3 linked regions of the Oryctolagus cuniculus genome follow. The protein of the gene in region 2 interacts with the protein of the main gene of each other region in a biochemical or structural test. Links are inferred from orthologs where the notes say so. Each region holds a gene or a part of one and is shown on either strand. Other genes may lie near its edges. The genes, in order: FASLG, FYN and ENO1.

Region 1 (3,746 bases), on a different chromosome or scaffold from region 2:
ATTTAACTTTTAACCAATAAAACGCCTCCAGAGAGTGGGTGAGAGATGAGTAATGAGGTACCTGTTTCCCTAGCCACAGTCCCCTGATTTTCAAAGTGACATTAGAAGTCCTCCAGAGGCTGCGTTTTTCTAAAAAGTGTTTCCACTCTGTGCCCCTCCTGAGTTTCTACCACATCAGAACAAGGGGCCAGAGCATCTCAGTGATGGCTCCTACATGAGTTTATGCTCCAGGGAAGTCGCTGACCTGGGCCACCTGCAGTAGGCTATCCTGAGATTGAAACTGGCAGCACTTAATGGATGGCTAGCCCTGCCTGCTCTCTTCTTCCACATTTCTAAGGAAAAAAATTACCTACTGATTTTGCAGAAGTGTCCTGCTTTCCATTTCTTTCTCATCCCCTGGCAATTACAGTCAAGCAAGAGTTTCTGTCTTTCCATGAGGCACCAGTCCACATGCTAGAAAGTCCTGGAAGTGCCAAGGCAGCAGGAGCCTACATCCCTTCTAGCCCCAGCGCCACCCAGTAGTCATGGGCACATCACCCAATCTGTCTGATGTTTTGTTTCTCTTCTGAGAAATGAAATGGGTGGAACTGATGATCTTTAAGATCCCTCTCAGTTCTAACCAAGTTTAAAAAGTCAATTAATCTTGGTTTAATACAAATGGAGCAAATCCTAAAATATACTTGTCCACAGTGTCTAAATCTATGCTCTGAAATTTAATGAAGCCAGAATTCAACACTTTTACCTTTTTCTTGTACTGGATTTCATACAAAGGACTTTCCTTTATTGTCAAAAACATCTCATAGGTAAAGTGGAATAATCCTTTGAATATGGGTTAAATCTTCTCCCAGGCCTCCCCATGACTTCAAAGGAACCATGCTATGTGGGAAATTGTCCACTTATCAAAAGCTTAGCTAAATCTTGTACAATGTCTTAAATGAAGCTTGACTCTTGAGTGATCTCTTTTCTGGAGTTGAGAAGAGGAGAGGACATTTCCCAGAAGTTTCTCTCTTTGCCCATACCTAACTAGGACTCCTGAGGAAGGAGATGGGCCTGCAACCAGCTGCCCAAATGGCAGGGCTCCAGGATTATGTATGTGTGTCTCATCCCAAAGTCAAGTCAAAAGTATTTTGCATTGTGTGAAACACTCAGCTACACTGATTTTGAGCAGTGAAATTCACTTCATATTTTAAAAGATGCTCAAGAAACCACACTGACCAGGGGTTCAGAATTGTCCAAGACTCTTCTCATAATATTCACAAGCCCAGGAATGGGATAGGATTCAAGGTATCCCCCCAACAATGTTCAGTGCTAAGGATTATCTTTGGAAATTCAAATCACATGAATAAAAGGACTCACCTGTTTGCTTCTCCATAGATGATGATGCTGTGTGCCTTTGACTGAAGGACTACCGGAAGAAAGAGAAAAGATGTATGATAAATAGGAAGCTCTTTAATCAGTGGAGGAATTGCCAAATAAGCCAGCCCCCGAAAGAGATTCCAAACTCCTCAGAACCTTTCCTAACTCAGACTTTAGCCAAACAAGTTTGTCTCATTGTCCCTCAGTTTTGTCATTTGAAATGGTACCAGATTTTTTAAAATGTTTTCAAGGAAATTCAGTCTGGTCATTTGAATACATTCACTTCTAAGCAGACTCAAAGTTTTTTTTTTATTTCTTGAATCACTAGATCTGAGGTCAGTGGCTTCACAGACTGACATGACAACTGAAAAAGGCAAAACCATATGGCTCAAATTCTTTACAAGACAGAAAATACCTCTTCATTCATAGGACCCTCCATTTCTCTACCTATAGAATAGAACGACAAGAACAATCCCTTTCCAAGACAAACAGTAAAGCTTGAAAAGCACTTTGCAAGCAAGACAGTGGTCCGGGTAGACCCCAGGAGGCTCCATCCCACAGCAGCAGAGCCCTCCTCCCACCCCAGTGATTGCTGGACACAGCTTACCTCTCTGAGCTCGGCCAACTCCTTCTGCAGGTGGTAGAGCTGGAACATCCCCAGCCCCAATCCAACCAGGGCCACCAGGACCATGAAAAACATCAGAAGGAGGCAGAGGCCTGTGCTGTGGTCCTTCCTCTTCTTCAGGGGTGGTGGGGGCAGCGGGGGCAGTGGGGGCAGCGGGGGCAGTGGTGGTGGTGGTAGCGGTGGCGGCGGCGGTGGCAGTGGTGGTGGTGGCCTTCTTTGACCAGGCCTTTCAGGTACAGAGGATGGACAGGGGAGAACTGACCCTGGAGGGGCCCAGGGAGAGCTGGCAGTGCTGTCCACCCAGTAGATTTGGGGATATGGATAACTGAAGGGCTGCTGCATGGCAGCCAGGGACTCCCAAGGATTTTACTTCTCAGTCCTGTGGAGGCTGCAATGTCGAAGAAGGAACTCCTGCTGCTCACTGTTAAGAGAGGAACAGCCAGCTCTCGCTTTATAGAGTTTCCACACCAAGGGAAACACCAATCAATCTCTCTCTCTCTCTCATCTTCTCTTGCTAGTTCTCAGAGAGACACCCACTCACCTTATATCTGCAGCTGAGAAGCCTCAAGAAGCTCAGAGCCAACCCCTGGAAGTTTCCGCCCACAACTTTCTGATGAAAGCCCCCGGAGCCACAGCTGCCGTGGCTGCGCTACCTGAAAAGGCAGGGAGCCGTGACCGCCTTCCTCGGGCCTGCAGAGCAGGGCAGCACTGGGCGCAGTGCTGGCGCAGGGAGAGTGGCGCTGAGCGGGGAGACTGGAGTCACTTGCAAGAGGAAATCATCCCCCTCCCGCATCCCTTCCCCACACCAAGCACTGTTTACCCGAACCCTGCAAATCACCATAATTTACAGATTAGACCCTGCCCCGCCCACTCTAGAGATTAGATCAGATATGCTTTGTGGATCTCACAGCCTAGCTCTGTTTTTACTTCTTGATGATTTGTTTCTCATTTGTAAAATCAAGACAGTCCACATTAAAATACCTATTTTCATTCTGTTGTAAATATTTTTAAGGCCATCTCCACAAATTCAGTCAGCTGGAGGTGAGGAGCAAGTGTCCCCAGGAATGAGACACAGGTGACCAGGTAGCCCAACCTCCACCCCCAAGGTCCCTCCACCCTGTACTGTGTTTCCCACACCACCTCACCTGTGAAATGGCTTTCTGGCCCCTGTAGGCAGCCCTGTTCATAGCTGCTGTTATGTTTACTAGAATTGCTTGAATTTCAGATCAACAAATAAGCTTCAGGGTATGTATGTCCTAAACAATGCAAGAGTTGTACTAAAATGTTATTCATTGTTTATCTGAAATTCAAATTTTAAAGGGTGTCCTTTTTTTAACTTTGTTTTTTGCTAAAGATGGCAACTGTGCCTGGGCTATGACCTCACCCTTTCTTTTGGTCTCAAATACCATTAATATGCCAATAACTTCCAAGTACTCAGCCTCACTCTTAATCATTCTCCCATAAAAACTGTATAAAATTTCCACAAATCTTCAATTTCTGTTCTTTTGAAGATGTCTACTTTTCAGTTTCATTAGTTTCTACATCACACTGTGAGATTTCTGTGACTGTCGTTCTGGCTCTCTCACGTGGACCACGTCAATACCAAATGTACAAGGGGTTTTCAAGAAGTTCATGGAAAATGTGTACAATGAAAACTCTATTAATGAATTTCAAAATTGTATTGCATCAGAGAGTGGGGAAGGAGGGAGAGAGAGAGAGAGAAAGAGGAAGTTTTCATCTTCCAGATTCACTCCCAAGTGCCTAC
Region 2 (3,646 bases):
CCCAACTGAGGCCTGTACTTGGTTTTCTTATTAGAAGCATGATTAAGACAGTTGCATGGAACACTGCCATCCACACAAAAAGGCTTACATGAAAAAACAGCGGTGGAAAAACTTGTACGCGCTGGGAAGCAAGCGGAGGCTTTTGAAATGAGCAGCATTGATGCCATTTCTAAAGACAACAACGGCGATTTAATAGAAGTGGAAGCAACGGAACTCCATCTCCCTTTGTGTCATCAGGAGAACGCGAGAGGACCTGCACCACTTCTAGCTCACCTCCCAATCAGCTCTGCACAAAGGAGAAGGAGGTGGAGGAAATACGGCCCAGCTGGGTGGTCCGAAAACCAGGGCCAGCAGTTAACAGCATCACCCGGGAACTTGTTAAAAACACACACTCCCAGGTTCCATCTCAGGCTTGCACAGAAACTCTATAGTTAAGGACCTAACACAAGGTAAAGTTTGAGATTCACCAGCTTAGCTTGTTGACAGATTTTTAAGTCTGGGAACCATGGGTGGGGCAGGCGCCTCCTCCTTATTAGCTCACAGCCCGCCGAGCCCTAAACCAGACACGTGAAACAAAGCAGCTGCGGCTCGCAGCCTCGGCCGGCTCAGCGCTTACGCACGCCGAGGGGAGGTGCAAATAATCATTTGCAGAGGCTGGAGGCTCGCGATGGTCATCAGTGATTTTTTTTTAAATGCTTTAATCACAAAATTATTTACAAAATAACCCTGGATACAAAGGACAAACAATCTGCCAGGAAAAAATTCCTTTTAAAAGAGTGTGGAAAGAAGAACTGCACGGGGCTCCTTGGAGGAGCAGTTCGTTGCCTTTTAAGGCTGTTTCTTGTTTGCTTCATCTGTTTTTCCAAAACAAAGTGATCTCTGGCCCCATCCCCAACAATGCTGGTTTGATTAGGATGACGGGGGGGGGGGGGGGGGGGAGGGTGTTGGGGGGGGTGAGAATATGAGAATAAAATGTGCTCTTTTAAAGCAACTCATTTCTTCATCGGATATTCAAGAGGAAGCCTGGAGAGAAAAGCAAAATGAAGTGATCGAGATTCAACTTAATCCAGAGACCAGTGCCGGATATGGTGCAGGCCTGCAGTAAGGGAATGGAACAAAAGCCACCGCTTTGGGGGCCGGCACTGTGGTGCAATGGGTTAATGCCCTGGCCTCAAGCGCCGGCATCCCATGAGTGTCGGTTTGAGACCGGGCTGCTTCACTTCCTGTCCAGCTCTCTGCTGGCCCGGCAAAGCAGTGGAAGATGGCCCAAGTCCTTGGGCCCCTACACTTGCATGGGAGACCCGGAAGACGCTCCTGGCTTCGGATTAGCGCAGTTCCGGCCGTTGAGGCCATTTGGGGAGTGAACCAGCGGATGGAAGACCTCTCTCTCTCTCTCTGCCTCTCCTCTCTCTCTGTAATTCTGACTTTCAAAAAAAAAAAAAAAAAAAAAAAAGCTACCGCTTTCAAAACAACAGGCGACTATCACAGCCTGCTGCGCTGTGATATTAAAAGTGAACGCTGGGGTGAACACTGTGGCGCAGTGGGTAGAGCTGCCATCTGTGATGCCGGCATCCCATATGGGTGCTGGTTCAAGACCTGGCTGCTCCGCTTCTGATCCAGCTCCCTGCTAATGCACCTGGGAAAATCAGCGGAGGACAGCCCAAGCACTTGAGCCCCTGCCACCCACATGGGAGACCTGGAGGAAGCTTCTGGACTCTGGCTTTGCTTGGCTCAGTCCTGGCCATTGTGGCCATTTAGGGAGTGAACCAGCTGATGGAAGATTCTCTCTGTCTCTGTAACTCTTTCAAATAAAATAAATGGATTTTTTTTTTTGTAATAAAAAGTGAATGCTCTAACTATGGTGAATTCCTGACACATGCGACATGCAAAATGTATGGCATTTCATGAGGATCTGGGGGACAAACGCAGGGTTATTCTGCCTTATAAACATTTTCATCAATAAGCACATGACTAGCGCCTCCTGATGGGGATACTCGACTCTGACAGAAATTCAGGACGAAAGCCAAGCGGGAGCTCCCCTGCCCTCCCTGATTCAAGCCCTGGAGTCCCCGTGAGGGGGAGCTGGGAGAGGTGCTGCCCAACCTTTGTTCATGTACTCGGTGACGATGTAGATGGGCTCCTCGGACACCACGGCGTACAGCTGCACCAGCTTGTCATGTTTCAGCTTCTTCATGATCTGCGCTTCCTCGAGGAACGACTCTGGGGACATCGTGCCTGGCTTGAGAGTCTTTATGGCTACTTTTGTGTTTCCGTTCCAGGTACCTACAGACACCCCATAAGATTAAGTCAAACCAAAGGGCCTCTTTGGATGGGTGTGAAGAGTTCAAAGCCATCAGGTGCTTTTTGTTTCCGAAAGTCAACTGCAAGGACTCTGTCAAGTAGTTAAGAGGAAACTGTGTTCATGTATGGCCAGGGCTAGATTCAGATTAATAATTCATTTCATTTTTCCCCTTATTTCAGTTTATAGCACTGTCTTTTTTGGGCTCAGTCACATGTCACAAAATTATACCAAAGGCTCTGGACTCTTCTTTATAATGATGGAAGTCCAGGAGCTGGCCGGCCAACAGAAGAAATGAGATGACGTACGCTCCATTTTTTGCAGTGTGCCATTTTTAAAAACCATGGCCACACTCTGAGGATACCTGGGGATTACCTCTAGACTTCCAGACATCTGCAGTGGGCGAGTTACCTGACGGAGTCCTTCAGCAGTTGACGTAAGCGTGCTGATGAGCACGGGCAAGGAGCTGGCAGGCTGCTTGCCGGTGCTTCAGCCAGGTCAGGCGCAGACCTCGGTTTACTGATGGTCAGCCTCAAGAGAACAACGCCTTCTAGCAGGGACACTGGGACAATTACATGAGCTAGGAGGGGCAAAGATAGCTAAGCTTCCCATGCGACAAACAGTCGAGTAGGGGCTGGCACTATGGCATGGAGGGTTAAGCTGCTGCCTGCAGTGCCAGCATCCCATACTGGGCACCGGTTCGTGTCCCAGCTGCTCCACTTCCAACCCAGCCCTCTGCTAGTGTGCCTGGGAAAGCAGTGCAAGATGGCTCAAGTGTTTGGACCCTGCCACCCACGTGGGAGACCCAGATGGATCTCCTGGTTCCTGGCTTTGGCCTGATCCAGCCATCTGGGGAATGAACCAGTAGATGAAAGAGTCTTTCTCTGTAGCTCTTTCAAATAAATAAATATATCTTAAAAAAAAAAAAAAAAAGTCTAGCAGACCCACAGGCAGGCCTGGCTTTAGATCTGACTGTTCTCAGTTAGCTCATCTGTAAAACACAAGAGTGACCCTGGATTACCTTATGAGTCTATTTCAGCTCCCTAATCAAATAAAACAAAACAAATAAAACTCAATTCTAAGTGTATCCCACTATTAGTCCTATGACTTTGAAGAACAGCTTTCTAAAGGGAAAAGAAAAATCTGCTAATTTAGATTGTTATTTTCTATTTGAAAAAGATGGGTTTAAATTAAATTTTATATTCTACATATTTAATTACAGAATTTAGAAATTCTGTAAATTGGAGCAATTCTTGTTATCCTATAAAAATGGTTCACATAATTACAAAGTATATGAACTCACAAAAATACATACAAAGGAACAGTGCTTTAAATATGAGTTCATGT
Region 3 (3,746 bases), on a different chromosome or scaffold from region 2:
CTGGCATGGACCTTGAGCACAGACATGGTGAATTTCTGCGGGGAAACACAGTTTTTATTTCCCATAAACCACTACACAGCATTTGCTCATTCACTCGAGGGTTCCTGGACCAGGCGGAATCTGCACTGGCCTGAATGCTGGCTGCAGGAAGGCAGCTTAGGGGCGGGAGGCCGGAGGCATCGCTCCATCCAACCCGGACTGGGCCCCGTCCTGGAGGCCTTCACTTCTATGGTTGAAGTCTTGCCTATGAGCAAAAGCCTGACAACGTGTGCCCCTCGGGGAAATCTGATCCAACTGGAGAATTAACACGTTGACGGCACGTACGGCCTGGAGTTGGAGGGCTGGCATGGAGTGAGGAGCACCAAGAGCAGGCAGGCCACAGGCAAACCATCTAGAACAAGGCCAAAGCGGGAGGCGAGGCGGTCTGGCTTCCAGCACAATGGGGCCCGATTCATCAAATGAGATCTGAGGGGCCTGGGTTGGCAGACACCCACTCAGAAGGGCTGAGGGATACTGAGCTCTTTGCGCGTTGATCTTTGCTACCACCACTTACTGGGCCTCTTCAATTCCAGTGTTTGGGTCTTTAGCAAGATAGGAGACGCCCATAATGACCTCTGAGCTGGGTATCTTTGAAAGGGTATTTTAGGGCCGGCGCCGCAGCTCACTAGGCTAATCCTCTGCCTTGCAGCGCCGGCACACTGGGTTCTAGTCCGGGTCGGGGCGCCGGATTCTGTCCCGGTTGCCCCTCTTCCAGGCCAGCTCTCTGCTGTGGCCAGGGAGTGCAGTGGAGGATGGCCCAGGTGCTTGGGCCCTGCACCCCATGGAGACCAGAAGTACCTGGCTCCCGCCATCAGATCAGTGCGGCGCGCTGGCCGCGCCGGCCATTGGAGGGTAAACCAATGGCAAATGGGAAGACCTTTCTCTCTCTGTCCACTCTGCCTGTCAAAAAATAAAAAAATAAAAAATAAAAAAAAGAAAGGGCATTTTACCTCAATTTAAAAAATGCAACTATGAAATGTTGTAATCTGCGCATGGAGGAAAGATCTATCTTTGAACACTAGGGTGCTTCAAGGGAAGATACCGCCTTAGCAAACACCTTAAAAAAATTTGTGGATTTGCAGCAACAAAGAACAAAACCAATTCTCAAAGAAAGCCCCTCCTTTTTTCTTCTCCAAATTGAGCAACTTGCAGAACTCAAGTGCAAGACAGGAACTGAGTTAGTGTGCAGACGCCATGATCTCCCGCCCCTCTGACACCTTCTCTGGAATGTTCCGAAGCAGCAAATGGCATCACTACTTTTAAGCTTCAAAATTAGAAACTGAAGCCACTTCTGTGCAACAACGGAGTTTTACTCCTCGGTCACGATAAAGGTATCCAAATTTTATCTAGTATGTTCCCAAGAAGGCAAATCTGTTTCAAACTCATTTTCTAGTTTTAAAATTTTAGGTAACTTTTAGTTTTAGCAAATTACGTATCTGGATAACTTCCGCGGCACCACGATGTCTGCAGATGCAAAACGCCCCGGTACCCCGCACGCCGGCCCTGCCTGCGCCGGACGCCGAATTATGAAAAGCAATTTATCTCTGGACACGAATACACCGTGCCTCATCGTCACATCGCGGAGAAACGCGACCCTGCAGGGGCTGGGCGCTGGGCTGGGGCCCGGCGCGGTGGAGGCCGGCCGAGGTCGCCCGCTGGCCCGGTCACCGCCGCCCCACGTGCCAGCGGCGGCGCGCAGGGCACGCGGAGGCCCCGGCGGTCGCCGGTGGGGGAGGGGACCCGCGGCCCCTTCCTCCATTTTAGGAGGGGCCGGCGCCCACAGGCCGCGCGGCGAGGCCCGCGTCTGTCCCGCAACCCCGCCACCCCCGCCGCCCCCAGGGGCCCGCGTGGGCCGCGCCCGGCTCTCCAAGTACCGTTACCTGGCTTCGCCTCCGAAGTCGCAGGCACTGCCTGGCGCCCCCGGGAGAGCCCGGCCCGAGCCCCCCGCCCAGCCTCCACGCCACGCGGCCCCCTCGGGGTCTGCGGGGCCGCCGACCCCCGCGCCACGGCCGGCGCCAGGAAGCCCAGTCCGCGCGGGCTCTGAAACCCCCGCAGGCCTGCCCCGGAACCCTGACCTGGCCGCCGGACCTTGTGGCTCAGGGAAGACGCAGAGGGTGCTGCAGACACCGACGAGAGCGTCCGGAGAGTGAGACCTGCGCGCCCCGAGTGCCCCGACCCAGTCTCCTCGCGGCCCGCCCCGACTTCCTGCCCAGCCCCGCGGGCCCGCCCACTTCCCGCCTCCCGGGCCCGCCCCCTCCGCGCCGCCTCGCCGTTGGCCGGGCGCGCCGTCACTCGGGCCCTCGCCTCCCGGGGAGGGGTGGGGCTGCTGCCGCAGCCACCGCGGCGGCGGAGGGGGTGACCGCCTGGGGGCGGGGGGTGGCGGGCCCGGGGGACCCCGACTGCCCATCGGCAGTGTCAGGGTGCGGGCGAGGCCCCTTCTGGGGACACTAGCCGGGAGCGGCCTGCGAAGCCGCCGGCCTGCGGCGGGGCGGGGACGGCGCGGCGGGCATGAGGGCTCGGGCCTCCGTCACGTACTGCGAGTCCCGCACGCACTCAGCGTCCCTCCGGCGCCGCACGTCCGGCCCACGTCCTCGGTGACGACCTCGGCTCCCCGCCCCGCCGCCAGGGCCCGGGAGACCCCGTCGGCGACGAGACGTTGGGTGCCCGCACGCCCGGGCCCTGCCGCCCGGGCCAGGCCGCCGCGTGCGCGCGCCCGCGCCGGACTCCCGCGTGCGTCCGGCCAAGGTGACCCTGGCCCCTTTGTCCTCGCTGCGGCGGGCGCGCGGGAGCCCGGGGCCGAGAGGAGTTGCCGGCTGCGTGCCGGAAGCGTCGCCGCGCGCTTCATCCCGCAGCCGCGTCCGTGCGCTTTGTGGACAAGAGTCCCTGTCCCTTCCTCTCCCCCTGCCCGGCCCCGGGAGGCCGGCTCGAAGCCCCCTGGCTTCGTTGCTCAGGTCGCCTCGGATAATTTTCCACGATGATCTGACAGCTGAACTACAGGCAGGGGTGGGTGCATTGATTTTTCCTTTCTGCTCGAGGAAGAACCCACAGCGATTAAAAAAAAAATCATGCACACCGCCTCCCAGGGAGGCCTGAGTTTTGGCTTTTCCTGCCCCTGAGGCTGGCAGCCGAAGCCACGACCCAGGGCTCCGTATTCTGCACAGGCTCAAACGTTCCGAAGTTTAATTACCATTTTTTTCCTGGTCAGCTGTAAAAACTGTTTTTCTGCCTCATCCCCTAGTTGTGTGTTTAATCGCCAGGGTTACTGGCATGGGTCCTGCGGCCCTGGGTGATGGATCTTCTGAGTCCACGGCGTTTGCTTTACGTGGACAGGAACAAAAGCAAGGAGGCCAGGGAGGGGGTGACTTTACCGTATTTTGCTAGGGAATCACGTGAATTTTGTGAGTTGGGTTTGAGATTTCCCCAGCACGACACGGACATTTTTGGCTGTTTGAAAACAGCATCCCAGACCCATGACTCAGCAGCAGGATGAACGGGCAGGCTCGGCCAGGCTTCAGAACTGGAAGAAATCAGACCCCGAGAGCGATTCTGAGGTGTGGCCCTGAACAGGCTCCAAACAATCTTTACATTAAAATGGTTAGAGAGAGATAAAGACACAGCCAGAACCAGTGAACCCAGCAGGAAATCAAAGGCAGAGGTTGATCTCAGCAACCCCCGCAGCGGCGGGGGCCAGCACTTCACCTCGAGTC

Evidence for each region.
Region 1: the proteins of FYN (region 2) and FASLG form a complex in vitro, tested with the Homo sapiens proteins (4 studies listed by BioGRID and IntAct, with this or other methods). The link is inferred for Oryctolagus cuniculus from reciprocal best matches to the Homo sapiens genes FYN and FASLG.
Region 3: of the proteins of FYN (region 2) and ENO1, one has a biochemical effect on the other in vitro, tested with the Homo sapiens proteins (2 studies listed by BioGRID). The link is inferred for Oryctolagus cuniculus from reciprocal best matches to the Homo sapiens genes FYN and ENO1.

What each region holds. Positions count from the first base shown.
Region 1 is NC_091438.1:1,340,690-1,344,435, reverse strand, and holds the start of FASLG (tumor necrosis factor ligand superfamily member 6), read right to left. Parts: upstream 2,731-3,746; 5' UTR 2,324-2,730; coding exon 1,964-2,323; intron 1,406-1,963; coding exon 1,357-1,405; intron 1-1,356. UniProt on the Homo sapiens protein: Cytokine that binds to TNFRSF6/FAS, a receptor that transduces the apoptotic signal into cells. Involved in cytotoxic T-cell-mediated apoptosis, natural killer cell-mediated apoptosis and in T-cell development.
Region 2 is NC_091436.1:59,897,203-59,900,848, reverse strand, and holds part of FYN (tyrosine-protein kinase Fyn), read right to left. Parts: intron 2,284-3,646; coding exon 2,104-2,283; intron 1-2,103. UniProt on the Homo sapiens protein: Non-receptor tyrosine-protein kinase that plays a role in many biological processes including regulation of cell growth and survival, cell adhesion, integrin-mediated signaling, cytoskeletal remodeling, cell motility, immune response and axon guidance.
Region 3 is NC_091438.1:158,988,050-158,991,795, reverse strand, and holds the start of ENO1 (alpha-enolase), read right to left. Parts: upstream 2,742-3,746; 5' UTR 2,575-2,741; intron 2,283-2,574; exon of another isoform or gene 2,115-2,282; intron 36-2,114; 5' UTR 27-35; coding exon 1-26. UniProt on the Homo sapiens protein: Glycolytic enzyme the catalyzes the conversion of 2-phosphoglycerate to phosphoenolpyruvate. In addition to glycolysis, involved in various processes such as growth control, hypoxia tolerance and allergic responses.